7 linked regions of the Callithrix jacchus genome follow. The protein of the gene in region 5 purifies or fractionates together with the protein of the main gene of each other region. This does not show direct contact. Links are inferred from orthologs where the notes say so. Each region holds a gene or a part of one and is shown on either strand. Other genes may lie near its edges. The genes, in order: EDC4, DOCK5, ASAP1, SOS1, CRK, PEAK1 and EPS15.

Region 1 (4,222 bases), on a different chromosome or scaffold from region 5:
AACTGAGCAAAGCATGTCCGTGAGGAGGGGGGGCCCTGTATTCAACTCTCATTCCATAAACACTGATGTATGCGGGACCAAGGATGAGCACGAGGCTATCCTACCTGGGGGAGGGGTACAAGCCATCAAAGACCCTTTGAGGCCAGTTCATACTTAGGCCCGGGTCAGTACAGAATAACTGTGGACTCTGAGTGAGCGCACAGCAAGGGTCAGGAAAGACTTCACAGAGCAGTCAGTGTGGCCAGAACACACAAACACAGCAAGGATGGAGGGAAAACAAAGCTGCAGAGGCCTCAGGTATGATGCTGTGGCACTTAGACTTTGCCTGTGGGCCATGAGAACCACAAAGAGTTTCAAAGGGAAAGGTGATGTGGTCAGCTCTGGCCAGTGGGATGATTATTCTAGGGTAGCATGCAGAATGGTTGAGAATCTAGGTGAGAAAGATCAAGGCCTAGACCAAGGTAGTGTCAGGGTCTGGAGAGAAGATGGACTCCTAAGGCATGTGAGGGGCTGCCCCATACAGAAATGGCTCAGGAGAAGCTAGTTTTAGTAAGAAAACTCAGGAGGTAGGGACATAAAGGAGCTAGACCAAAAGGAGAGAAACTATAGGGCAGAGTGTGGCATCAGAAAAGGCAGCATTTCAGTTCTTTGCAACTGGCTGGGTTTCAAACAGGCTCATAGGCTTAGACACCATTTCCAAACCGCCCCCCTAGGTGGCAAGAGCCTAGGGCTCCACATTCAGGAACACAGAAAGTTTCCAGTCTTTTAGTTCTTTTGTTTTTTTTTTCCAACTGAGTCTTGCTTTGTCACCCAGGCTGGAATGCAGTGGCGCGATCTTGGCTCACTGTAACCTCCACCTCCTGGATTCAAGCGATTCTCCTGTATCAGCCTCCCAAGTAGGTGGGATTACAGCTCAAGTAATTTTTATATTTGTAGTAGAAACAAGGTTTTACCATGTTGGCCAGGCTAGTCTTGAACCCCTGGGCTCAAGCAACCCACCCACCTCAGCCTCCCAAAGTGCTGGGATTATAGGCGTGAGGCACTGCACCTGGCCCTCAACAGTCTGCATTCGGACCTGGTCCCCCAGTGAGAGGAGACAAGAAAGAGCTCCTTGGAAAACAAGGGAATCAAGTGCCAGTCAATAAACAAAGGAGTTATAAGGAAAGTGTCTAGGCCACTTCATTCGGATCAGAGCCACTTTAGCTGCTCAGGGACAAGCTGACCACTCTCCCTTTCATGAAGGCTACCAGGAGGACAACCAAAAACAAGGCCCAGGCTGTACATGTGTGGCCATGCCAGGCTCTACCAAATCTCTGTGGAGTCTAGTCTGCAACTGCTGAGCAGCAGGAGAGGTCCACACCTACTCATGAGTAAAGAAGGCACACATTCCAGGCCTGGGGCAAAGGGCCCAGTGGTCTCAGGCAGCAGACGGATTTTCTGAGTGGACATTAGTTGAATCCACCCTTAGTGAGCACCAGTGCCTTCCAGAAGCAGCCAGTCTGGGCCTCCAAGCAGGTATAAGAACAAGATCTGAGGAAACACCAATTCTCCACTGCACACCCACACCACCATCACCAGCCACTTCAGAGATTCCCAAACCTATCAGTAAACTGGTGTCTGCATACGTGCTATTTCCTCTTTGTAATAGGTGGCTTCTACATAGGTGCCTTGAGTGCCTTTCCTGACATCCAAGCCCTTGTTCACATTACAAGACCTAGCCCAGTCTCCTCTCTCAGACCTGCACACTGCATTCATCAGCCTCCACCCTTCCCATGCCCATCACAGTATCAAGACACTCCTTTCTTTCAATGACAACAGTATATTACAACCCTGTTAGCTCTCTGTGTCTTGGGGGATCTTTGGGAGCTAGACACAGGGATACCTAGTTCTTAGGTATCACTAAGAGCTAAAGCGAAACACGAATGAAGGTAAACCAATTAGGGCTTGCAGATATTTGTAGCCTAATTCAGTCAGGGTGTTGCGGTCTGTGATTTGCCTTCATCCCAGAAAGAACATGGAACTGAGGCTGGACACCTTCCTCCTGGAAATCAGTTTCAGAACGGGAGGCCTGGAGTCTATTCCAGAGGGAAGGGCAAGTTATGGAGGGGGACTGGCGGCTCTTCAGCACCGCGATTAAGCCTAGGCCCAGAATTCCATATACGGAGCCCAGACAAGGCCTCTGAACCATCGCGAAAGCGAAGAGACGCCAGGCCGGTCCCAGGAACACTAGAGACCTCGGGGCCAGGAAACCAGAGGGGCCCAGCTGATTCAGAAAAGGGGCCTCACCTTCAACTGACATGCTGAAGGACGAGGCAGAACAGCTTGAGGAAAGGATAGGGAGGGGTCACACCCAAGGGTCTGCGCCCTTCCAAGGGGGCAGTGAAGAAACTCCGAACTCCGTCCACCCTTACCCGCTGAGAGGATACAGAGCTGGTCCTAAAGGAGCTGTGGGCTCCGAGGGCGGTTCAGAGGCTCGCCGCCCTTTTGTCAGCTCGTCTGGGGCCCACCCCCGCAACCCTCGCTCACCGCCCGCGGGCCGGTCCAGCTTGAGGATATCCCGCAGGTGCTGCGTGGCGTCCTCGATGTCGATGCTCGCGCAGGAGGCCATGGGCCCAGCGGCGGGCGCCCCGCCCGCACCGCGTTCGTTCCGCCGCCGCCGCGCACCACCCACCCTCGCCCAGCCGCGACAGGGCGAGACAGCCGGACACGGGTCGCTACACTCAGTCCACTCTCAGTTCTCAAACCGCCGCCCGCGCAGCGTCCCTCAGCACCGCCACCCCCACCAACCGCCTCCACTTCCGGCCCCCACAAGCCGAGGCTCCCGGAATCTGCCAGGGCCAGAGAAGAAAGGTTCCGGGCTGGGGGCGGACGCCTAAACCCCTCCCGCAGTCCGTCCCCATCTGCGGCCCCGCCCCTGAACCCGAGGGGTCAGGGAAGTTCCACAGGACTGAGGTAAGCGTCCACGCATTGGGCCACCCAGAGCCCTACTCTACTCAGAAGCCGCCCGGTCCCTGCCCACTCTCAGAGCGTGGACTCTGATGGTCCTAGGATGGGGTCAACTCAGCCGCCCGTGCTAAGGTCCCTGACTCCCAGAATAAGCTGAATTGGCAGGAGCCTCAGGTTCCCTTGGGGAATGGGTCGTAATAACTCAAGGCCCGAGGCGACCGTCGAGGCCATAAAACCCAGGAATTGCAAGAGTAGGGGAGATGGTCCCACCACAATAATCATTGTTCCCTACTGTCCCCCAGCACCCTCTTGTCCCACCTGGCACCCTCCGGTTGGAAGAATGAAACCACAGTTTACAAATTCCTCTTTATTGCAGACAGTTCAGGCACAGGTACATGGAAGAAGCTGTATTGCAGATTTTATACAGGGTGGTTTGAGGCAGCAAGTACCTACCTCTTCCCCACCCCTACTTCCCCAAATACACACCAGCCTAGAGATCATTCCCTGAAATCTCCTGAGCACCATCCAACCCTGTGCCCAGTGTCACCAGGCAAACTTTGGGATTTGAGGAGGTCCTTAGCCTCCACCCATAGTGGAAGAGGGGAAGGGTATCCTTTTACAGGTCAGATTTAGCTGTGGTATTCTTACCAATCCTAAAACCCCTAACGGCACTGACCCAAATCCTGGGTTTGGTTCTAGCCTATGGTTGCTACATTGCCACTCGGTTTATACCATCCAGAGGTCTGTGGGCTGAGGGGCCAGGTTCATACTGGGCAAGGCCTTTGTCCCCAAAACAGAGAAACAGAACTGCCCTAATAGCTAAGACTTCCTGGGATTTGAAGATAGCATGAAGTCTCTATGCTGAGGAAGGAAGTGAGAGAGGCCTGCAATGTCCTGCAGAGGTCTGAGTGTTGAGGATCCCTAAAGCATGAGTCTCTCACACTCAGATTGCCTCCTTCCACAGCTCCTGACCTATACTACAACCCAACTGGGCCTGGCTCTGTGGGCAGTGGAGGCTGGCTCTGCTGGGTACTGGCCTTTGTGTAATGATATCCAAAGCAGGTGGGATAGGAGCTGAGCTGCCTCTGCCTGGCTTGGTGTATGTGAGGCAACCTGGATATGATCCTGATCCTCCTGGGGATATAGCAGGCCTCTCCCTTTATATTGCTGAGACCTCAACCTGGAGGGCCTCTCCAGCTTCAACAGGATTCAGGATCATCTCTCCTGCTGCTAGAGCCCTGAACCTACCCAGAGCAGAAGTCACAGGAGGTATCAG
Region 2 (3,006 bases), on a different chromosome or scaffold from region 5:
ACAAGTTGTCTTCTAGAAGTTTCCTGGGTATAGCCTAATGCAGCAAGCTGGGTTATTAGAAACTGTAGTACAATTTTCTGTGTGTAGCCTCAATTTCCTTACCTACTAAGTAAGGGGGCTTGTTGGTTGATTTTTGAGGCTTCCAGCTCCAAACATCTAAAACTTCATGCGGCTATTTATGTATGTAATATTTGGTCACCTAAATCACTCCATTTTTTCTTCTGAAAGGAATACGATTAGTACCATTAGCAAGTAATCAAATTAATTCCACAATCAAGAGGAATAAATACTGGAAGGGAGATATTGCACTGTATTCTCCAGGGTAAAATCAGGGAGCAGATGGGCCTGCTGAGTCATCCAAATGGGGTCTGGAAAAGAAGCTGCTGAATCCGATTGCTAAGTCCCTTGTAGCCAGTGATTTGCGCTCAGAGGAGGTAACAGGACAAAAAAAAAAAACCGTGTGTGCAAAAGGAAGAGCTTCAAAGAAGTCCATAGGGAAGGAGTGGCTGCAGTGCGTAGAAGGCCATTAGTCAGGAGCGTGGCGGGAGAGGGAGACGGCAGCTGTCCCATGCCACGAGAAGATGGAAGCTGGGAGGACGCAGGAACTCAGGGCTCACATTTGAGTCCATGCTCTTTTAATAATGACAGCCACATGTACCTGAAAGCACCCGATCTCCTTTAAAAACGTGTGTTCTTTTCCTCAAAGGAGACACAGTCGACATCAGAAAGATACGATTATTTCAGCTACCAAAGTGTATTTGGTGTCCACATCTTCCAAGATGCAATATGGGATGGGATGGATGTGTTTGCACAAGAAAAATACCTAAGTCTCAAGCACACCTTTTCATAAGCAAAGCAAAAATTCCTTCCAAGGAGTAGATTACAGGCGTTGCTCCACCATCAGTGTGGAAGAACTCGTCCAGGCTTGTGCAGACCACCATGTCTCTGCGGTACAGGCTGACATTTAACAATGGTGAATGCGATCTCTTCTTCGAAAAATTCAGAGGATGTGGCTGTTCTGGAATTCCATGTGGACTGGAAGGGAGGTGACATGGCCTCAAGCATCTATCAAAGAGAAGCTTTTGGAAGAACATAACTGGTTTTAAGCTGGTAAACGTCATCCCAGATCAGGAGACGCAGCAGGGAGCCCCGTGGAATGAGGACACTGGCTGGAGGCCAGTTCTCAGGCAGCAGCTGTCTAAGGTACTCTGTATTGCAGAGAGGGCAAAATCCTTACTGGGATGCAGGCTCGGAAGTAGGGATGCCGGATTTCCGAGCCTTTGGCGGTGGAGGAGGTGGTGCTTTGGCTTCTCTTCGGACAGGCAGTGGGGGAGCGAGCTGTAGGAGCAGACACACAAATTAGAAGCAGGTTTTAGTTTTCTTCCCAACTCTGCCTTTTCCTCCCATTTCCCACATTCTGCTTTAGCTTCTCATTGATCTGAGTTTATCTACCTAAGCTTTGCAAGGTGAAATGGAAAACTACACGCATTTGTCCTTCTTGTTTCCTGTGAGTTAATCAGACACACACACACACACACACACACACACACACACACACACACAATTGCACTCCAGCCTGGGCGACAGAGCCAGACCCTGCCCCCACTCCCACCCCCCCCAAAAAAAGTGAACTAGAACTCACAACTTATTTCACAGGTACCCAGGATGAGGTACAGAGAACACCTGCTCTACCTTTATCATCTGCTTGAATGTCTGTCCTTCCCACTGAAAACTTCTCTATCTCTTGTGGTTTCAGGAATGAGCCAAGAATCGACTGCAGTGACAGGTCTATGAGCAAACCTGCCCACTACAAAGCCTAGAAAACTCGATGCTGCCTGCCAGGAGCTGCACTCCCTGGCCATAGTTGCCAGCTGTGGTTTCCCTACCTCGGTGGAGTTCCTCTGGCTGCCCTCATAGGGCTTGCTTTTGGGGGGAGGTGGCGGTGGGATGGGAATGGCTGCAAGTCCATCTATCTGCAACGATGGGGAACCTAGAAATGACACAAAGGGCACACGGGCAGAGAGAGGCACTGAGCAAGGAAACTCACAGAAATGCTGCTGGCACCTTAACACCTAAGCCAACCCGGTCAACCAACTTGTGAAAGCCACATTCTGTGGTTTCTGTGAATAGAATGAAGACTTCTCACCCAACATTACACAGGTAATGCTCTCGCCAGAAAGTTTTAAGAGCTTCACAAGATGTTCTGAAGCAAACACTTTATTTTTTCTTCAGGGTTTTGCAATTAAGATAAAGATAAGAACATTTTCTGGAACGTATGGTATTATTCTGTTCTCTGATAGAGCCCAAGTGCTTAGGAAAATATTCCCTTCCTCCAGGAAACTGTAATTGATTAACTCCTGGTTGACAACTGTCTCCCATCTGGCTCTGATAAACCCATCCCTCCACCATGTCTCTGGACTACGGGTACCTTGCAATTCTTCTCAAGTGTTGTGCACTGCTGGTTCCCCAAGCCAGACTGTAAGCAGTAGATGGAATGGGTCTATTTCTAGTCCCTGTCCAGGTCTGCCTAACCTAATGGTTAGCTTGTAAGTTACTTGTTATCTGTCTAGTCCTAGAGCAGATCTGTCTCATTTATACTTTCACAATTATAAAATGGACACTAACACCCTTTGGATCACTCTCCAGAAAAGTGGTTTGTTTTTTTTTTGAGACCGAGTCTTGCTCTGTCGCCCAGCCTGGAGTGCAGTGGTGCAATCTCCGCTCATCACAGCCTCTGCCTCCCGGCTTCAAGCAATTCTCCTGCCTCAGCCTCCTGAGTAGCTGGGATCACAGGTGCACACCACCACACCTGGCTAATCTTTATATTTTTTTAGTAGAGATGAGGTCCCTCCATGTTGGCAAGGCTGGTCTCAAACTCCTGACTTTGTGATCTACCCACCACAGCCTCCCAACGTGCTGCGATTACAGGCATGAGCCACTGCACCCGGTTTATCTAGAAAAGTTTAGGGCTGGGCGCAGTGGCTCAAGCCTGTAATCCCAGCACTT
Region 3 (3,500 bases), on a different chromosome or scaffold from region 5:
CTCCTAAGGCATGCATCATTCTTCTTTCCTTACCCATAATTTGCTTCCTATGATTACCAGGCAGCTATGATTACTAATGTTTTACAGGTGAGGAAACTGAGGCACAGCAAGAACTTGATTTACCCAAGGTCACATAGTTAGCATTTGGTCTCAGACTTGAATCAAGAGCCATTTAATTTTTAAGTCTGTTGCTCCATTCATCAACACAATAACTGCCATTCACACCTTATGTAAGACACATGCAGCAGAGGCCTCAGAAGCCAGGCTTGGGCCATTCTTTTGGTTACTGGAAGTCTTCTAATTCATCAGGCTCTTGCTATCCTAAAGGGACTTTGACCTAAGCATAAAGGACACCCATGAGCATGAGCACTTGGTTACTTAATAAAATCAGTTGGTCTTTTCTCAACTGCATAGAGTTGAGAAAAGACCAGAGGCTATGTGCCATCATCAACCAGCTCAACTCTTTTTACTACCAACCCAGAATGAAAGAAAAAGGTATTGGCACAATGTTAAACTGTGTTGCCTGACTGTGAGGTGTTGGAAATAGCAACAGCTTCCACAGGTGGAATGCATATTTTTGAGCAAGAAAGTTTATATCCTTTGTGTTAGAGCCCTCTCAGAAGGTAGAAAACACTTCTTAGAAACTACATCCTTTAATTCAAAATATACCAATGTCTTATCTACATTTTCAGATTTTTTAAAAAAAACCTAAAGCTCATGAAGATTAAGCAGTTTCCCATGGTCACACAGCTGGGATGTTGTAGAACTAGGATGTAATCTGAAGTCCATTTACTGTCTTTTTTAAACTCATGTAACTGGGAAATTAAAGGGATGGATTCAGATACAGCTGGATCCAGGCTATCAGACAGCGTCACATGTACCCTAGCTCTCTTTCCCTGACTCTTACCTCTCCTTTCCTCATAGCTGACTTTCATTTTAGTCTTTGCCCAGAGGTGACCAGGGCAACCATTGGGCCACTTAGGTTATATACTCACCCCTGTCGCTGAGAGGTAAGCTGAGTCCTACCAGAAATACTTGAACTAAAGTGAGAAAGGTGATTTCTCAAGAGAAGGAAAAAGTACCTCACCCCTTCAGGGTTTGGGCATGTTACCCATGTGGTGTCGTGCTCCCACACCAAAACTTCTGCGGGAAAGATAGCTAACCTTCACCCCTTTGGAGCTCAATGCTTGGCCTGGGGTAGTTGCTTCAGTGACAACCTTTCTGAGCCTCAGTTTCTTCACCTATAAAATGGAGAGTTATGGCCAGATTTTGGCTCACGGCTGTAATCCCGGCACTTTGGGAGACCAAGGCAGGAGAATTGCTTAACCTTAGGAGTTCAAGACCAGTCTGGGCAACATAGCGAGACCCCACCCTTTAAAAATTTCATAAAATAAATAGGAAGTTACATCAGATGACAAAAATCCTTTCCATGAAGCTCTGAAAACTGTTAATTGATCTTTTATAATGTGTTTAATTTCTTAAATTTTTTAATTTTCTCATATATATCAGAGTTTGAAGTATTTACACTTGATTTCTCATGCTGTTGGTCAAGATGAAAAAGAAATTTGCTGTGATTTATGTATTTAACTAATATATACAGGTAATAAATATAGTTTACTTCGTAACTATATTTATTACCTGTATATATTAGTTAAATACATAGTATTTTCTTTATTCTGTCTCTATTGGAATAATTTGGTCTAAAACCTGTTTTGTTTGAATGGTGAAAAGAAGCATATCTTAATTAAAATAACTTCACAAAGAGAAATGTTTGTCAGAAAAACATAAACCTTTCTTAGCACTTGGAAAATAAAAATTCTTTATTTTATCTTGTGTTTTAGGACTGTGCGAAAAGAATATATCACTGCAAAGTATGTAGATCATAGGTTTTCAAGGAAGACCTGTTCAACTTCATCAGCTAAACTAAATGAATTGCTTGAGGCCATCAAATCCAGGGATTTACTTGCACTAATTCAAGTCTATGCAGAGGGGGTAGAGCTAATGGAACCACTGCTAGAACCTGGGCAGGTAAGTCCTCACTAAAATCATAGGATAAAGAGTAATGTGGAAAATCGGTTTAAAAGGTGACTTATTTTAAAATTATACTATACAATGAGACTCTTATACATTGGGTGACCATGTCTAAATCAAGAGATTTTGAGAGTGAAAATGTGTGCTCCTTATAATTACTTCGACTAATGTATATGACACTTCCCTAGGCAGAGCATATGATCCACTTATTTATACTTTTTCTTCCCTTTTTAGGAGCTTGGGGAGACAGCCCTTCACCTTGCCGTCCGAACTGCAGACCAGACATCGCTCCATTTGGTTGACTTCCTTGTACAAAACTGGTATGGTTTTTGTTTTCTCTATTGAATTACCTGAATATGCCTTATAAATTAACACAAACCAGTCCTATCAGTGGCCTCGATCAGGAATTGGCAAGCTTTTTCTGTATCATGCTAGATATAAAAAATATTTTTTACTGGGAGATGTCTCGAAATGTAAAATCCCATCCTTTGGGTTGTGGGGTTTTTGTTTTCTCCAAACAAAATCTGATCTTTAAGGTTAATATATATGTATTGGCTTTGCAGGCATGAAGTGTCTCTGTCAGAGCTATTCAGTTCTGCCATGTTAGTGTGAAAGCAGCCATAGACAATGTGTAAACAAGCGAGTATGGTTCAATTCCAATAAAACTTTATTACTTTATTTATAAAAACAGATAGTGAACTAGATATGGCCTGCAGGCTATAATTTGCCACCCCTTGGCCTTTATAAATGTAAAATTCTGTTTGTATTCAAAACTCTTCTGCACAGACTGGACACATTTCCCAACCATTAGGAGAGGTTAAAAGAGAGAAGACTTAACAGCACAGGTTAACCAGATTTTTGAGTTTTCATTGTTCATAAATTTCATATGAAACAGCAGCAGTGTGTGTGGCTGGATCAGTAGCTCATTCAAGTTTGGGACATACTAATGGAAGTATAATAGTGAAACAGGAAGTTTGGACTTGCTGGATTCCTTCTTTATTCTTTAGCTGTTCTGTAAGCAACAGATTTGTGAGGAGGGACTAGAGCTCATCCAAAGAAGATGATCAAAATATTAGGGGATCGGAACCCGTATAGGAAGAATGGTGCATAGACACAAGCCAAATTATATAAAAGTCCAGGTTTCTTCTTCAGAGACAACATAGCATAGCGGGTCAAAGCATTGGCTCCAGAGACAGAATACCTGTGTTCAGATCCCTGCTTCACCATACCCATCCTGAAAATCTTGAAAGCAAGCACTTCAGCCTCTCTGTGCTTTAGGTTTTTTTATCTGTAAAAGAGGCTATTATTAGTACTTACCCCATCAGATGGTTGTAAAGATTCAATGAACTAATACATGTACCATTAAGAAACAATGTCTGTCCCATAGTTCCTGGCACTCTCAGTAAATGCTAGTTGTTACCACTATATTGCTTATAAATCTAGGTTAGAAACATAATTTTCTCTGTAAT
Region 4 (4,141 bases), on a different chromosome or scaffold from region 5:
ACCTCAGGTGATACACCTACCCTGTCCTCCCAAAGTGCTGGCATTATAAGGCATGAACCACCTTGCCCACTGGCCTGTATATTTTTAAAGGAAATAACTGAAGACTTTCTTTTTTTTTTTTCTTTTTCAGATTTTCACAGAGGTCCTGTAAAGATTATGAACCACTGAACATTTCTCATCTACGTGATCCTGGCTGTTGTTCTTAGGAATAGCAGGACACAATGTCAGCTTCAACCCAAGCTAGTTCCTCTAAACTGCATTCTTATCGGTGAAATGAAAATAATAGGGTTGCTATGGGGATTAAATCAGATGATACTCCAGAAGTGATCATTAATGATAAACCATGAGGTGTCTGCCACAAAGTGCCACTATTATAAACAGTGGCCTGGAGGGACAGTTTATATATACCGGTCCTTTAGCATTCCACTTTCACTGAGTGCCTGTTCTGTGTGGAGGACCTGGTGAAAAAAATCTGCCTTCCAGTTTATTATGTAGTTGAAAGAACCACAAAAGATACAAAACACTATAGACCAAATGCCCTGAGAGAGGAATAAGTGCAGTGTTCTGGGAGCTTTAGAAGAGGTCTCAGTATCCATTGGAGGAAAGTGCTTATTGGAATTCATATTTGGAGAGGGTTGAAAAGATGAACAAATGCAATCTAACACACACAGAAAATCAATACTACATGTACACATTTTATTCTTGATGACGTGGAAAGACCAGTTAAAAACACTGCGATCACTTCTATTGCCCAGCAGATACTTAGCAGTAGGTTTCGAGACAGAGCACCTGTATATTTTGTCCGGTCTGTTTACTATACATTGCGTGCTGGGCAGTCCTTATCTTTGTGTTCGGGAACAAAGTACACACGCCCCTTTCCGAAACGAAAGGCCCAGGGACTCAGAGAGGGGTAGGAGCCCTCACGGCTAGACCACACAGTGGGGGCTTCTTTACCGTAGTTCTTACCCCCTCTGCAGGCCCCACTTTGCCAGGGTTCGATTTCTCGGGCCCTTTCGCCCCTCCTCAGGAGTCCCCAGGAGCGCAACCACAGCCCGGTCAGGCGCCCTGCCTCCCTTCCCCACTCCCCCCGCCCCCAGCTTCCCTCCTCCTTCACCGGGAGCCGGAAAACCCGGAGCGAACCAGCCCAGCCCGGCAGCGCATGCTCAGTAGCGCGCAGGTTCAGTTTGCTAGTAGGAAGCTCCAGCGCTACACCGGCGGCGGCAGCGGCGGCACCTCAGGGCAGCCAGATTCCCCAACAACGACCTCGGGTCCTTCCCCTTCCCCGCGAAACCCCCTCCCCCAGCTCCGCCCCACCCGAGGGCTCTTGCGTTTCGGAGTCTCAACTGCGCGGAGCGGGCGCCGCGGCCAGAGCGTCCCTCCACACGTCCTCCCCCAGCCGCCAGCTCTGCCGCGGGGCCAGGCCGGACCCGGGAGTGCAGCCCCGGCAGGCGGCGGCGGTGTAGCGGGCCGCCCGGGGCGGCGCCGGCGGGCCAGGGAGGGGCGGGGGGGCCTGGCCCCGGGGCGGTGGTGCGGGATGCCGCCGCCTCCGGGTCGCATTCGTTCTCCACGGCTAGTACCCGTGTCGGGTGGGTGGCTGGGCGTGGGCCTCGCCCTTCAGCCCCCTCGCCAGGGCTAGCCCGGCTGCGCGGCGCCCGGAGGGGGCCGGGCCGTCCGGTGGGGCCGCGGCCCTATTCCGCGCAGCGAGCTCGCCCTCTCGCGGCTCCCCGGCCGGGCCGCCGCCGCCCCTCTCCCCGCCCAGAGGCGCCCTGGGGGCACCATGCAGGCGCAGCAGCTGCCCTACGAGTTTTTCAGCGAAGAGAACGCGCCCAAGTGGCGAGGACTGCTGGTGCCTGCCCTGAAAAAGGTGAGGAGCACGCCGGACCCCGCTTCCCGGCCGCAGCCCCCCAGCGCGGGCGCCGAGCAGGCGCAGGGGAAGGGCTGGGGAGGCGGGGCGCGCGCGCAGGGCCGTCTTTCTTCCCTGTCTCGCCGCGTCTCCGAAAGGACGGCGCACACGGGGAGGTCCCCCACACGGCTGGCTCTCAGTGTTGACATCCACCCGTAGTGTGGGAAGGCCGCGGGGAGCCGCGGGCAGTTGCTCCGAATAATCCAACCCCGAGAGGTGAATGCTTTGCCCTTTGATTCCGAGACAACGGTTGGAGAAGCCTCAGTTTTCAGTGGAGGTCAAAGCAGGCCACTTTTCCGCCTTCTCGGTCTTAGCCCGGAGCTGTTGTCAGCCTCATGTTTTAGGTGTCCAGTATGCTCGTTTTAGTGGCTTGAGAATGCCCTGGCCGTAACGCTTGCTCTAAGGAATTGCGAGCTCGCCTGCCAGCAGGAGCGTGGCCTGCTCCGCTCGTCCTCAGTAATCACTCTCTGTTCTCCTGATCTCCCCTGCTCCTCGGATTAACAGGGGCTGGTGCACATGCTACCAATTTCAGGGGTTTTGTTTTGTTTTTGCGGCATTCGAGATTCTTGGTGCTGTCATTTGGCTTGTTAAGAATTTTTAGTCTTTGTATGTTTAAGTTTGCTGTGTTTTTAAATGTTTTAGTATAATTAGGAAATGTTACATTTTTAAAGCTTCTAGAGCAACAGTGTACTAGACTATTTTTGTTTCCTTTTCTTCATTTACCTTTTCTACAAAGATTGCTTTACTCATCTAAGAGTGTTTCTAAATCTGTTTCTTGCTGCTCGAAGACTCTTTCATGTTAATTAGTTAACATATAGTTTTGCTTCTACTAAGAATGGAGATTATGTTGTACCTTTTATGCTAAGCATTAAAAGGTGTCTGATAGTGCTTAAAGGCCAGTAACTTTTACTTTCCCCTTTGCCCTGTTCTCTTGTCCCTCTTGCTATCTTACAGTGGAAACTATTTGGTTTGTTAGGAGAATTTGCTTATGTATTTCTGACTTAAGTTACTGACATTTTCCCCTTCAGGTGTCTGACTAGTCACGAACACCTATGTGATTTTTCTTTTTTTTTTTTTTAAAGAAAACCAAAAAGATGCCATATATCCTTTTCTTTTCTTTTTTAAATAAGATGGGGTTTCACCATGATGGCCAGGCTGGTCTTGAACTTCTGACCTCAGGTGATCCACCCACCTCGGCCTCCCAAAGTGCTAGGATTACAGGCGTGAGCCACTGCACCCAGCCGCCATATGTCTTATGTACTTTAATCCTTAGAAATCCCGTCAGGTTCTCACTACTTACTTTTGCTTTACCTGCAAGTTTGACTTCTTAGCGTGTAATGGAAGGGGTTTAGGAGGTCTCTGTGCTGCCAGAAGCTGATGTCCAGGTAGGGTAAGGGAAGACAGGGAAATTGTTTAAAAACCTGTAAAGGAACTCATAAAGCATTGCCAAATAGGGGCCATTTTGCTTAGAGGCAAAAACAGCTCCTATCCCGGGGGAATCACCAAGCTATCAGCTTAGGATCTTTTGAAGTAGTGGAAGAATACTGTAGGAGTTGACAGACCTTGTTTAATTCTGCCATGCTGGTGGCCCTTGCTGAAATCTGTCCCTAGAAGCATTTTGTTTGGCTGGCACAGTGTTGTTTTATTTTTAAATGTAATTAGTTGCTGGCATTTGAAAATGGGAGATATTACATAAAATCTGAATTTTCAGCTTTTCTTGAAGAATAGGAAGTTCTTGCTAGTTAGGGCCTGTATTCCAGCAAGGCACTAAACTGCTGGAGGTGAGTAAATGGTTGTCCTCTTTAGACAAGGCATGTATCTCCACCTTACCACAACCCCCACTTGTCCTCTTTGTTTATTTACGTAAACCAACTTTTGAATTTAAGGTAGAGATACTTTTGCAGTAAGTGATAGAAGAAGGTGGAAGTATACATAATCTAGCTAATGTGTAAGGTTCTTCCAATTCTTAAATAGCCAATAACTATGATTCTAAGACAAGATTGAAAATACAGTGTATTTCATATCTGGATATGTTGTCCGTAGCTCCAAACCTACATTTTTACCTGCCTGCTGGACATTTCATGTGGATATCTCCATATCTTGATTTCTTTTGATTCACTATTGAATTATTTATAGATGCATCCAACTTGTGCTCTCTTACTCTTACCTGAGGCTCTTTGGACATGCTAGTCCCCTCACCTTTCTTTGCCTGATCCAACACTACTCATCCTTCTAGAC
Region 5 (3,500 bases):
CTAACTGGAAAGTTAACAAAGCAGTCAGATGGATGACATCTAGTATCAGGGATTTGTTCACTCAACATTACTGAGCACCCACTGTGTGCAGAGCACTGTGCTAATGTCTTTATCAAGCATTACCTTAGTGTGAGGTAAAAATATATTAAATTAGTGTCAACGCATCAGTCTGCTTGTGGCCATGTGGGGATCCTGTGCCACGAAACCAGCTTCTCAGTCTCCTCATTCATTCAGGCACGTGCATGCTGACTGTGTGTCAGGCAATGCGCCAGTCCCTGGGATACCATGATTTGTTGAATGTTCAAAGAATGCTAATTTATCATATTCACCTATGCAGAACAATTAGAAAGGTAGATTCTCCTTCCAAAATGAGGTCCAAAGGTGTTTCTATTGTCATACCATACCATAGACCAGTAAGTGCCTTTACGGACTGAGAACTCACTTGGAAGTTTCATGCCGTGGTCTAAATTGCCTAGATCATTTTTGGTCTCATCTGTCTATTTTTTGGAGCACCTGACCCCATATAAATCATTCCATACTTAAATGGGTTTGTAAACAAAACCTGAACATGAACAGAAAGAACCAGAAATGAAGGCAGTTTATAATGTAATGTACTTCAATAGCATCACTCTGCCCATAAGACGTGAGGGATACGTAAGTAACTCACGATTGCTTCTAACACTTTTCAAAGCACTAACCCTACCCCAAACTCATTTAATACTAACTTGACTTTCATACAAGTTGCACAGAATACAGAGGGCAGAATTTGGCCTCAAAACCTTCCACGGACTATTAGAGGTGATTGGTCCTTCCACTCCAAGCAGAACCTAAGAATTCCAAGAGTCTCCTGATAGGATACTGGTACTCGGCAGAAACGGCCCTGTTGGATCCCATTAGTTAAGACTCTGTTGAGCTGCTGTAGAAGGGTGACCTACCACGACCCTTTTGGGAAAGGCAGAGAGCTGGGAGACTGGCTGTCCACTTAGTGAATCCAACACTGCCTTAAAGCTATGCACTGAATAAAGTACTCGGTACATCCTGCTTGTCACCTGGAATGAAAATACAAACTCACCTTAGGAATTAACCTACTTACAGGTTTGGGGGAAAAGAATGACAAGGGCTAAAAGAATCTCAAGAAATAGTATGAAGCACTGACTAAGAAGGAAGACAAATGCTTCTAGTAGTGTTCTTAGAATTCTTAGGGTCTGCAGTGTCACAATGAGTCATACAATGGTCACGTTCCATAAATGAAAGCAGTCCTGCTCCATACTATTCACACGGTGCATGATTACTTCGTGGGAGTAGAAGGGAACAGTCTGTTGCCATTCGACAGTATGGTTCCAGAATGAAAACAGAACCACTGAATAAATCAGGGTAAGCAGTGTGTAACTCTTTCCTGTCCGTCGGTTTTCCACAGGTGATCTGCACTGCCTGAAAGGAGGCAAGACACCTCTCCCTCCTGATACACACAGGCACCGCCACTACCTCCTCAAATCGCCAATTCAGAAGCTAACACACAGCCCTCCAGTTCGTACCCTGAATGTGCTAAGTAAGACTAGGAATGGAGTTGTTCAGTCTAAAAAAGATCACAGGTAACAGAATGCTTATATAAACAAGACTGCTTTTGACATCTGTAAGAAAATTGTATAGATGGCAGTTAGAAAAAAAAAGATTGTTCCCATGTGTCAGCAAAACTGTTGAGCTCTACTCAGCTGAAGTCCTCATCGGGATTCTGTTGATCCAGCAGACGAACATGTGTGAAAGGGAAGTGACCTCGTTTGCCATTGCACTCCCCTTCCCACTGACCACTCACATTAATCTTCGTAACCTTTACCAGCTCACCGACCTGCAGGAGGAGAATAAGGACAGCACTTTATTTCTGGTTAGGAATGCAGCGGACAAACTCCATTCTCTGCTCAGGCATACCCTGCCCATGTGATCACTCTAGGGATGTCACAGAAATGGCCATTTGCTGCCTCCCCAGCCCCAGCCACCAGACTGATTACTTGTGGTTAATGCAGGCAGAAGGAAGAAGTGTTTTTAGCAGTGCAGAAAAACACAGAGAATACAGAAAGTAAAAGAGGATCCCAGATAATGATACTTTTTGATTAAAAAAGAATGATAATGAATGGAAATCCCAAGCATCTCTACATGAGCAATCCTGGTGTCAGTGAGCTCGCTAGTGTTCCCTTTCTTTGTACTCACTGCCCTCAGCATTCCACCTGCCTGCAGGCCCTGTCCCAGGACAAGCAGCCTTTCCCTCTTTGGCATGTGGTAGCAACACAATCCCGCCACCCACTAGCACACACACATCCTGGCCTGTTGCTGCTTGCATAGCATCAGCGATCACGGCAAGCATATATGTTATGTGGTCCTAGAAAATCCTGTGTTCCTATCACTCCTGACCAAAGCAAGCCTTTTCCCGTATGGGCAGGTAGAGGCCAAAACTCCAAATCCAATTAGCTTCCTGAGAGACCCCGACCTAATTCTGCCAGCTCTATTTGACAAGCTACTGCCCGCCCTGCCAGCAATCCCACCCTCAGACAGACCTTGAGGCTCCCTCAATGCCCCTTGCTACCCAAGCATTACCCAATGAGGGGATAAAAAAACAACTATGGTTGGGCGCAGTGGCTCATGACTGCAATCCCAGCACTTGCTGACCTTGACACAGGTGGATGGATTCCCTCAGCTCAGAAGTTTGAGACCAGCCCAAGCAACATGGTGAAACCCGTCTCTACAAAAAATACAAAAATTATCCTTACAAATGGCTAGCTTAAAAATAAATTTTAAAAAATATACTGGGTGTGGTGGTGGCTGCCTATAGTCCCAGCTACTTGGGGGGCTGATGTGAGAGAATTGCTTGAGCCCAGGAGGCAGAGGTTGCAGTGAGCCGAGATTGCGTCACTGCACTCCAGCCTGGACAACAGAGCCAGACCCTGCCTCAAAAAAAACAAAACAAACAAAAAATCCCTATTGTTTTGTCACGTATTTATAAAATGTCTCTTGTTGCAAAATGAAATATGAAGTTCTAACAATCTACGATATACTACGAAACTTAAGAGGTCAACCTGATGAATGAATTCACCATGTGAGATACTAAATACTAAACGGTGAGATAAAGTCTCAGATGTCACTGGACTAAAGAGTTTTTTTTTGAAGGCTGGGCGCGGTGGCTCAAGCCTGTAATCCCAGCACTTTGGGAGGCCGAGGCGGATGGATCACGAGGTCAAGAGATCCAGACCATCCTGGTCAACATGGTGAAACCCTGTCTCTACTAAAAATTACAAAAAATTTGCTGGGCATAGTGGCGCGTGCCTGTAATCCCAGCTACTCAGGAGGCTGAGGCAGGAGAATTGCCTGAACCCAGGAGGCGGAGGTTGCGGTGAGCCGAGATCGCGCCATTGCACTCCAGCCCAGGTAACAAGAGCGAAACTCCATCTCAAAAGAGTTTTTTTTGGTTGTTGTTTTTTTTTTTTTGAGATGAAATTTTGTTCTTGTTG
Region 6 (4,060 bases), on a different chromosome or scaffold from region 5:
ATCCCGTCTCTACTAAAAATACAAAAAGTTAGCTGGGCATGGTTGCGCGTGCCTGTAATCCCAGCTACTCAGGAGGCTGAGGCGGGAGAATTGCCTGAACCCAGGAGGCGGAGGTTGCGGTGAGCCGAGATTGCGCCATTGCACTCCAGCCTGGGTAACGAGCGAAACTCTGTCTCAAAATAATAATAATAATAATAATAATAATAATAACAACAAATACAACTTTCACAAGCATTACGTGTAAACTACATATAAGAATGTTTAGGCCGCGGTAACTCAGACCTGTAATCCCAGCACTTTGGGAGGTTGAGGCGGGCAGATCACCTGAGGTCAGAAGTTCAAGACCAGCCTGGCCAACGTGGTTAAATGCCGTCTCTACTAAAAATACAAAAAAATTAGCAGCGAGTGGTGGTGGGAGGCTGGGCAGGAAAAATACTTGAATCCGGGAGGCGGGGGTTGCGGTGAGCTGGCACTCCAACCTGGGTAACAAGAGGAAAACTGTCTCAAAAAAAAAAAAAAAAAAGAAAAGAAAAGAAAAAAGAAAGAAAGAATTTTTTAAGGCCGAGGAAGGTGTTCTCAGGCACCGGGCAAATCAACAGGCTACAGCCCCAAATCAGCAGGCCCAAGAGTATAAGATGTCAATTTTATCAGTTAAGGTAACATCAAATTTGAGTACTACAGTGTGATACTTTCATTCTGCTAATGAAAATGCCCCAGATTTTATGTAAAATATTCAGTCCCCTAAATAATAAGTTATCTCCTTAAAAAAAAAGAGGAGCTAGATTTCCTGTTGCATGTCAAGGCAGAGGGCACCACACTTCACCCAGCCAAGGCTGGACTTGAGTACGGTGTAAAATTGGCAATTCATCAGTCACACAACAAGATAGGTCATCTTGCAGAGGTAAGTAGAGAATTCTAACCGGGGCTTTTGAATTCTTTGAAGAAAGCACTGAGACAGTTTTGCTCAGGAGGAAATGTTTCGTCTTCCACGTAGAAACAAACTCATAAATTCTGACTGCAGGTTGGTGCTCACCACAACGTGGAATAACCTAACTTTTCACATAAAACACAACCCCAAAGCTGCAAGATACGGTCTCCGCGAATGGCACCAAGCACCGCCTTTTCAAGCCCTCACCAGCACTGAAAGTGGGTTGGACACCCCCAAACCATTACCACCCCCCCACAGGAAGTGAGGGTGTCCCCCTCCCCCAGGACGGCCCTCCTCCCCTCCCCCAACCGGAAGTTGAGGCGCCCCCATTCAGCCGGCCTTCAACCAAGACAAACTAATACCACCATCAAAAGAGGGGTGCTCGTCAAGGGGTGAAGGGCATCTCCACTGGGGCCACCCCCAAGCTCGCCTTGCTTACTGACCTGCTGACGACAGGGGCAGGAAGGGGCCTGGGGCCTAAAGAAAGTCCCTCGCACAGAGGACAATTCCCTCAGCCCCTCTCAATCGCCTTCACTCCACGCACTCGTCATCTCACAGCTGGACAAAAATTCTTCCGCAGCACTTTATTTTGGTGTCCTTTCCTTCTCTTTACCTAATCGTTTAACCACCTTCTCACAGGTAACTCCTCTTGCCGCATAACATTTACAAGTGCTCCGGTGAGGAGAAAAATGAAATATTATCCACGGTACCTTCAGAAAAATGGAGGGATTATTTTGCCCCAATGCGGCGAAGGACTACGTGGTTACGCAAGGTGAGCCTTATTTTCGTGGAGGTTTCTGGGAGATGTAGTTTTTTTTTAATTGCGAAGGCCCGCAGAAAGTAGAGGGACTGAAATTGGTCATGACTATATACTAGCGTCTTCGAAAACATATTCTGTATTCGATTACGGCTGACCTAGCGGGCTCTAACGCCCATATGGGCCCAGACTTCCCTGCTCTTTTTCTCTGACGCTTAATCGAACCCAAATTTTCCCTCACGCGGGCTCAAGGTCTCGGCAGCCCGCCCCTTGCCTTGGCCCCGCCCTCCGCAGCCAATCAGGCACCCTTTAGGTGTCGTCCTCGGAGGCTGGACCAGAGAGGAGGGGCCTAGCGGCGACTCCTCCCGCTGGGCTGAGGGAGGCCTGGGAGACGGCAGGGGTCCGTGCGCGCGCGCGTGCTCACGGCTCTAGCAGCGCGGCGGGCGAGCGAGCGAGGGCGCGCGCTGAGGGGTGGCGCGCGGGGCCGGGAGGAGGCGGGCAGGCTGGTGGGCTGGGCGGGCGGCGAGCGGCCGGGAGCGCGCGGTGGACTCGGCCGCGGCGAGTAGTTAGTTAGTTGTTGTTAGTGTCAGTTGCTCGGCGGCGGCGGCGGCGGCGGCGGCGGCGGCCGTGGTTACCAGGAAGGGGACGGGACCGACGGCGATGGTGGTCCCCGCGGCGGCGTGTGCGCCCCTCAGGTAACAGCGGCCCGGCTGCCCCAGTACCCTGGGTTCCGTTCTCCTCACGCGCCGGCGGTGGGACCAGGGTTGCCGCGGGGTGAGGGCGCTGACCCGGGGGAATCTGGGCGGGGTGGCGCGGCGCGGGGTCTGGGTGGCGCCGCCGCCGGGGCTCTGGCTGCCGGTGCGTCCCGCCTGGCGCGGGCTCCCGCTCCCCGGCCACCCCCGCGCCCTGCCGATGCCGCGCGCCCCCCGCCACCCCTGCCCCCTCCCTCGGCGGCGGCCCCGGGAGCGCGGCGTCCCCCAGAGGAAGGAAAGTTGGGACCCGCCGCGAGGGACGCCCCCGGGCGCGGCTGGGAGGCTGCGGGGGAAAGTGAAGCCTGGAGGAGCTGGACGCGGGGAGGCCGGGGCAGGAAGGGCTGCTCTGGTTCCTGCTGGGTCCGCACGGTCAGCCAGCCCCACACCCGCGAGCATCGGCTCAGCCTCGCCGGCAGCGTCGGGACGGACCTGGGTGGCTCCCTGCCTGCTCCCTTCGCGCTGCGGCTGGGGAGCCTGCGAATGTGTGGGCTGGCGGGGTCGTTTGGGGGTTGTGAGCGGTTCGGCTGCTCGGTTTGTTTCCTCTCTGCCCTTTGACTCATCTTGCAACTTTTCTTTCCTCCCTCGATGGGGACTTGCCGTCTGAACCGCGTCTGCCCCCTCCCCCTTCGTCGCATGCACCATCCGTCTGGGAGCTTGATTTCGTTTTTTCCTCCTTTGGCTACGTTAAAGATTGCTGAGAGCACCGGGAGGGACCCTCCTCCCCCGCCTGCCTCCGGCCTGTTAAATGTTACTTTTTGCGATTCGTTGTTTTTTAAAGATCCAAGTTCAGGAATTTGAGAGCTGTGGAATGGAGTTATTGGAAGGCTGGCGTTGAGCGGGTAGTGATGAGTTAGAGGAAAACTATGATTTCATCTTTATTGGCCTTGCTATAGAAGAGCTAATTTATATATATATTTGTCTCTATTGAATGTGGTAAGATCGTACGTTGAATTAAATACTTAGAGACTTACATAAAAGACTATTTTTAGGTCATTGGATGATGTACGTGAGCAGCTTTTCACCTGAACTGGGATTGCCTTCAGAATTCTGTTTTGGGGCCTACCTACTGCTTTTTGTTCAGCGACAGCGCCTTTTTTTCCCCTGATAAATGAAGTGATGTAGTGATGTGTGTAGTCAGAGAACCCATATTGCTCTCTGCAGTGTGGAAGTGAAAAACGCGGATTATCCACAGGGGTGAAACTTTCCATGAGCAATCTTGGCTACTCACTTCACGATGGCTTCTCCTGTAATCTCAGAGCATTTCTAGACAGCTCAATTCACTGACTACCCTAATTACTTTCCGACTTGCCTGGCACTTCTCTTTGGTGACTTGTTTAGTAAACTATAATGGCAGATATGGTACATTTACTTGGCTTCAAAGATGAGGGTTGTAGCCTCAGTCCAGAGATGAACAGTTAACAATGGAAGTAGAATTAATAGCATTGCTAGTGAGTTTTGGATATGACCAACTCACAAACTATGTGAAAAAACAAACATACCCTTTTCATTGCTGTCAGAGAGAGAAAGGGAAATATTTTATCATGTCTTTATTTTGGAGTCTCTAACATGACTATATTATGTGGGAAAAAACGTCAAATTATTTTCTTTAAGGCTTTTTAATGT
Region 7 (4,271 bases), on a different chromosome or scaffold from region 5:
TGCTCTTGTTAGCTGGCATTTGCCAAAAGGGGTCTGAGTAGAATTAGGAGTTCCTGCAGAAATTTTTAGAATGATTTGCCTGTGATGGCAATAGTCTAAAAACTTAGGTGGGGCTAACTCCATCCTGGGTCTTGTTCAGTTGTCTCTCCTACCATGGGGACTGCTATGGTAATGGTAATGGGTGTGGGCCTGATAGAGTTGCAGTTTGTTGTCATGGGAAGCCACCGTGACTGAGAAATTAAGACCAATTTGGGTAAATACATTTATTGATGCCTCTGTTTGAACTGTGAGGTAGATATAGTAGTGAATCAGCCCCTTGTCCTCAAGGATTTTACAGTGCAGTGAGGTGCAGACAAGCCCTCAACTAACGCTTACAAATAAGGCAGAGCATAAAAAAGGTCATATCAGAACAACTTAGAGGTGGGGTGTGGAGTTCCTAGAAGGCTTCTTGAAGTAGGTGGTATATATGTTGAGCCTTTGAAGATGAGAATTTCAAGTAACTGGGTATTCCAACTGAAGGTTGGCAGCATCAGAAGGTGTAGGATGTGTTATGTTTAACATAGGCAGGAAGGAAGGCCTTTATTAAGCACGCACTGTAATTCCAGGGTCTGACAATATAGAAATATATTGAAAATAGACCTTGCCATCGAGGAGCTCTTAATTTAGAGGGGTAGATAGGTGTAAACTGTCATTAGGGTGGTGACTTCACAAAGTAGAGAAGAAAGGTTATAAAGGAGACCGTGTAAGTAACTCTGACATGAGAAGGAGAGAAGATACTTTGCAAAGTAGGTGATACTAATTATGTCCTGAGAAAGGAGGAGTCTGCCAAGTGGACGATGTAAGAGTGCTACAGGCACTACCGTTCCCTTGTTAAACAATCTAAGTGTGACAGGCACCAGGCAAATACCTTTCCAAATGGATTTTGGCTGTGGGAGGGAATGACTTAATGTCTTCTTTTCTAATATACTAGCAGATAGTTAAATCTAATACTAGGATTCTAATCCAGCTATATAATTAGCTGTATGACCTTAGTAAGGCACTTGTTTCAGTTCCTTCATGAATGCAATTCAAAAATATAAGAGTCTAGTACAGAGCCTGGCATATATAAAGTGCCATTATTATTTTCTATCATTATCTCATTTAGCCCTCGTAAGCAGCTTGGACTCTGGTTAAAATTTCCCCTATTTTTCAGAAGCAGGAGCTCAGCGTAGGTAGGTGAAATTCACAGGACAATCTGGAGTCGCCTCCGCAGCCCGTCCGCTTTACTTTAAGGTCCGCGCCGGGTTTTCCCAGGCGGACCCGGGGGCAGGCTCTGGTCCGGCGGCTGTTACTCCGGCGCCAAGGTTTGGGCGGCGCCGCGGCCTGCTCGCGCGGGCGGGCCGGCGGGCCGGCAGGCGGGCGGGGGCAGGCGGGCGGGGCCAGGCGGGGCGGGGCGGGCGTGAGGAGGGAAGTTGTGGAAGTTAGGGGAGACGCCCGCCCGCCCGCCTGGGCCTCGCCTACAGCCGCTTCCCCCGCCTCCTCTCCTCCCCGCCCCGAGCCCTCGTCTGCCCGTCCTTCCTTCCCCTCCCTTGCATGATGGAAACACCATGGCTGCGGCGGCCCAGCTCTCTCTGACACAGGTAACGCCGCCCGCCTGTCCGCCGGGCTTGGCCGGCCGGTATCCCCCTCCCCCACCGCCCTCAGCTTAGCCAACCCAGGCTAAGCGGGCCTGGCGACCGGCGTGTGTGAGCGAGAGCGGGTGCGACTGCGGGAGGGCGCCCTCCCGAGCTGGAGTCCCAGCGCGGCCGCCGCGACCTCGCCCCGAGTCGTTGGGCGCCCCCTGCCCCGCCCCCCGCTGCCTCCGTCGCCCACTCCGGCCGCCCTTTGCTCCGCCACCGAGCGGACTGTGACCCGGCTCGCGCGGGGCAGCTTTCACTCACCCAGGAAGTTTTTTCCCTTCGGGCCGCACGCACCCCAGGTGAGCTCTCGTTGAGCTCGCGCGGGCCGGCCGCACCCCCGGGCCGCACGAGGCTCGCTCGCTGGGCCGGCAGCGCGCCGCCCCCAGTTGTAGTTGCCTTCCAGAGCCGGACGCGCAGCCCCCCAAGTCAGGTTTTCCTCTCCAGATCTGCCTTTCTCCCGGAGTCCGACGAAAGCCCTTCCTTCCCAGCAGTTTAATGTAGTTACTAGCCTCGCCTCTAAAGAAGTCTCATCCTACCCATCTACCCCCTCTGCCAGCCCCTTCCTCAGTTCAGCCTCTCCCACTCCTGATCAGGTTTCCTTCTGGGTCAGACCCCCTATGCAGCCTTTTCCCACCCACGTCTGCTTCCACTTCCACTTCCCCTCCAGAGGCGCCCGCTTGATTGCTGTGCAGGTGGATGCCCTTAACGGGTGTGGTGGCTCCGCCAGTCTTGGTGTCAGGAACGGCCGCCCGGGGAGCACTTGTCTTGAGGGAATCCTCAGCAAAACTTGTCCTCGAGCTTCCCTCTTGCCTCGTTGCTTCCTGTCAGAGTCCAGTCCTCGTGCTTCTCAGAAAACCTCTAAACATTACTCACACTGGGAACCTGGTCCCTCCCTCTCTGCAGAGAAGCCAATTACAATGTAAACATGGTGTCCGGGATGATAAGGTGACAGACACCTGCCAATCCCTTCCTGCTCCTCTGACCCAAACTTCCCCCACGTCTCCTTCTCAGACGGCTCTCTGCAGAGCTGGTGGCGCGTGCTTCCCGATGTGTGTGTGTGTGTGGGGGGGGGTTGGTGGCACCCAGTCCTCCTTGCCTGCTTTGTGGTATCTCCCTGCCATCTTGTACTCTCCTTGGCCTAGATTCGTTGGTGCTTCTAAGGCTTTAGCGCTGGGATAGGGCAAACATTTGGGCACTAGAGTTTTCTGTGTTTAGGATCAAGAGGCTTCGGGGTGCTTTGCCTGGCACTATAGGATAGAGAGAGAGAGAAAAATGTCTTCTCAGAAACCGGGAGTCACGTACATACTTCATGTAAAATAACGAATCGTGTTTGCAGGAATTCTAAGTGTCATAAGGGAAGTCTGTTTCCCAGTTTATTTGGTAGTGGTGTTTGTCCTGTTCTGACAAGCAGATAACAGCGGGGAAGAACCCTTTAACATGGAATGTGGTGGTTTAGTCTTGGTTATGTATCTTTGGAAGGGTCCTCCCAAAACTCAAATTTGAGCAACGACAGCACTGACTTTTTCAGGTATTCACTTTCTGTGAGTCTAGTTAGTGACTTGCATTAAACGAGATCCCTGTTGGTGGGCTGTTGTTTTCTGGCTCTGTTGGCCAGTTCTGGCAGGAGTTTTCCCTTCTTGAAGATTTTGTGCTCTTGAAGACTTGCGTAAAATTGCTTCTCAGTTGTGTGCATACTTTATTATCGCCCTGGGTAATACCATGTTTTTAGCTTCTATTTACTATCATTCATCTCTGGAGAATTACTTCAGGCTCTGTGAGTTTTATGGTCATTTAAAAAATTTACATATGTTCTTGGGTTATATAGGTATTAATGGGGACACAGTAAGTACGGACACAGTAAGTACTCAATCAGTAGTAGCTATTATCCTTCAGTGCCTCACATATGAAAGAATATACATTGGTGGCCAATTTTTATTGATAAATAAGTAAATTCAGAATATTCTGATTTTCAAACATGAAGAGGTAGTAAGAGGGATTATGAAGGCACAGGAAGAAAACATTTCCAGTTGTTGGTATACCCTAACGTGCCTCCTTATTTCAAAACTTTGCAATTTGTGATTTTTAAATTTAATTCTAATTTTTAAAAACTGCTTGAGCCCAATTCACTAAGATAACAATGCAGCCTGGTTTCAGATTCATTATTGATCCGTTTGTCATCCTCTGTTTTCCCTATCCCTCCCATCCTCCCAGCACACATGTTTAGACAGAGGCATACTCAAGTGAGAGATCATTCAGGCCAGGGACATCTTTTAATCCATCTTTCTTCCATAGTATCTATCTGGAAGAAAGCAATTAATAACTGTTATAGGAATGACTGAAAGCTCTAAAGGATTCTGTGACAGTTATGGAGATTAACATGCTGAAGTTAGTTTCTGTCTCTGTTCATATGATGGTTTTCATTTAGCAAATATTTTAAAAGGACCTATAATGTGCTAGACACTGTACTGGGATTATCTTGTTTATAATTTCTTGCCTTTACCAATTAAGCAAAACAGTTTGGGGGGAAAAATGTGAAAAGTATTTTAGTGGCTAGGCTTGGTGGGTCATGCCTGTAATCCCCAGGACTTTGGAAGGCCAAGATGGGTGGATCAC

The links.
Region 1: the proteins of CRK (region 5) and EDC4 purify together in Homo sapiens (affinity purification with mass spectrometry; 3 studies listed by BioGRID and IntAct, with this or other methods). This does not show direct contact. The link is inferred for Callithrix jacchus from reciprocal best matches to the Homo sapiens genes CRK and EDC4.
Region 2: the proteins of CRK (region 5) and DOCK5 purify together in Homo sapiens (affinity purification with mass spectrometry; 3 studies listed by BioGRID and IntAct, with this or other methods). This does not show direct contact. The link is inferred for Callithrix jacchus from reciprocal best matches to the Homo sapiens genes CRK and DOCK5.
Region 3: the proteins of CRK (region 5) and ASAP1 purify together in Homo sapiens (affinity purification with mass spectrometry; 3 studies listed by BioGRID and IntAct, with this or other methods). This does not show direct contact. The link is inferred for Callithrix jacchus from reciprocal best matches to the Homo sapiens genes CRK and ASAP1.
Region 4: the proteins of CRK (region 5) and SOS1 purify together in Homo sapiens (affinity purification with mass spectrometry; 6 studies listed by BioGRID and IntAct, with this or other methods). This does not show direct contact. The link is inferred for Callithrix jacchus from reciprocal best matches to the Homo sapiens genes CRK and SOS1.
Region 6: the proteins of CRK (region 5) and PEAK1 purify together in Homo sapiens (affinity purification with mass spectrometry; 4 studies listed by BioGRID and IntAct, with this or other methods). This does not show direct contact. The link is inferred for Callithrix jacchus from reciprocal best matches to the Homo sapiens genes CRK and PEAK1.
Region 7: the proteins of CRK (region 5) and EPS15 purify together in Homo sapiens (affinity purification with mass spectrometry; 3 studies listed by BioGRID and IntAct, with this or other methods). This does not show direct contact. The link is inferred for Callithrix jacchus from reciprocal best matches to the Homo sapiens genes CRK and EPS15.

Annotation. Positions count from the first base shown.
Region 1 is NC_133521.1:25,404,472-25,408,693, reverse strand, and holds the start of EDC4 (enhancer of mRNA-decapping protein 4), read right to left. Parts: upstream 2,801-4,222; 5' UTR 2,609-2,800; coding exon 2,527-2,608; intron 1-2,526. UniProt on the Homo sapiens protein: In the process of mRNA degradation, seems to play a role in mRNA decapping. Component of a complex containing DCP2 and DCP1A which functions in decapping of ARE-containing mRNAs. Promotes complex formation between DCP1A and DCP2.
Region 2 is NC_133514.1:16,102,364-16,105,369, forward strand, and holds part of DOCK5 (dedicator of cytokinesis protein 5), read right to left. Parts: intron 1,991-3,006; coding exon 1,887-1,990; intron 1,339-1,886; coding exon 1,234-1,338; 3' UTR 1-1,233. UniProt on the Homo sapiens protein: Guanine nucleotide exchange factor (GEF) for Rho and Rac. GEF proteins activate small GTPases by exchanging bound GDP for free GTP. Along with DOCK1, mediates CRK/CRKL regulation of epithelial and endothelial cell spreading and migration on type IV collagen.
Region 3 is NC_133517.1:67,190,895-67,194,394, forward strand, and holds part of ASAP1 (arf-GAP with SH3 domain, ANK repeat and PH domain-containing protein 1), read left to right. Parts: intron 1-1,841; coding exon 1,842-2,028; intron 2,029-2,265; coding exon 2,266-2,351; intron 2,352-3,500. UniProt on the Homo sapiens protein: Possesses phosphatidylinositol 4,5-bisphosphate-dependent GTPase-activating protein activity for ARF1 (ADP ribosylation factor 1) and ARF5 and a lesser activity towards ARF6.
Region 4 is NC_133515.1:75,898,062-75,902,202, forward strand, and holds the start of SOS1 (son of sevenless homolog 1), read left to right. Parts: upstream 1-1,341; 5' UTR 1,342-1,777; coding exon 1,778-1,864; intron 1,865-4,141.
Region 5 is NC_133506.1:66,815,796-66,819,295, reverse strand, and holds part of CRK (adapter molecule crk), read right to left. Parts: intron 2,735-3,500; coding exon of another isoform or gene 2,662-2,734; intron 1,847-2,661; coding exon 1,709-1,846; 3' UTR 1-1,708. UniProt on the Homo sapiens protein: Involved in cell branching and adhesion mediated by BCAR1-CRK-RAPGEF1 signaling and activation of RAP1.
Region 6 is NC_133509.1:23,586,960-23,591,019, forward strand, and holds the start of PEAK1 (inactive tyrosine-protein kinase PEAK1), read left to right. Parts: upstream 1-1,260; 5' UTR 1,261-1,700; intron 1,701-2,245; exon of another isoform or gene 2,246-2,380; intron 2,381-2,459; exon of another isoform or gene 2,460-4,060. UniProt on the Homo sapiens protein: Probable catalytically inactive kinase. Scaffolding protein that regulates the cytoskeleton to control cell spreading and migration by modulating focal adhesion dynamics. Acts as a scaffold for mediating EGFR signaling.
Region 7 is NC_133508.1:88,416,372-88,420,642, reverse strand, and holds the start of EPS15 (epidermal growth factor receptor substrate 15), read left to right. Parts: upstream 1-1,471; 5' UTR 1,472-1,586; coding exon 1,587-1,619; intron 1,620-4,271. UniProt on the Homo sapiens protein: Involved in cell growth regulation. May be involved in the regulation of mitogenic signals and control of cell proliferation. Involved in the internalization of ligand-inducible receptors of the receptor tyrosine kinase (RTK) type, in particular EGFR.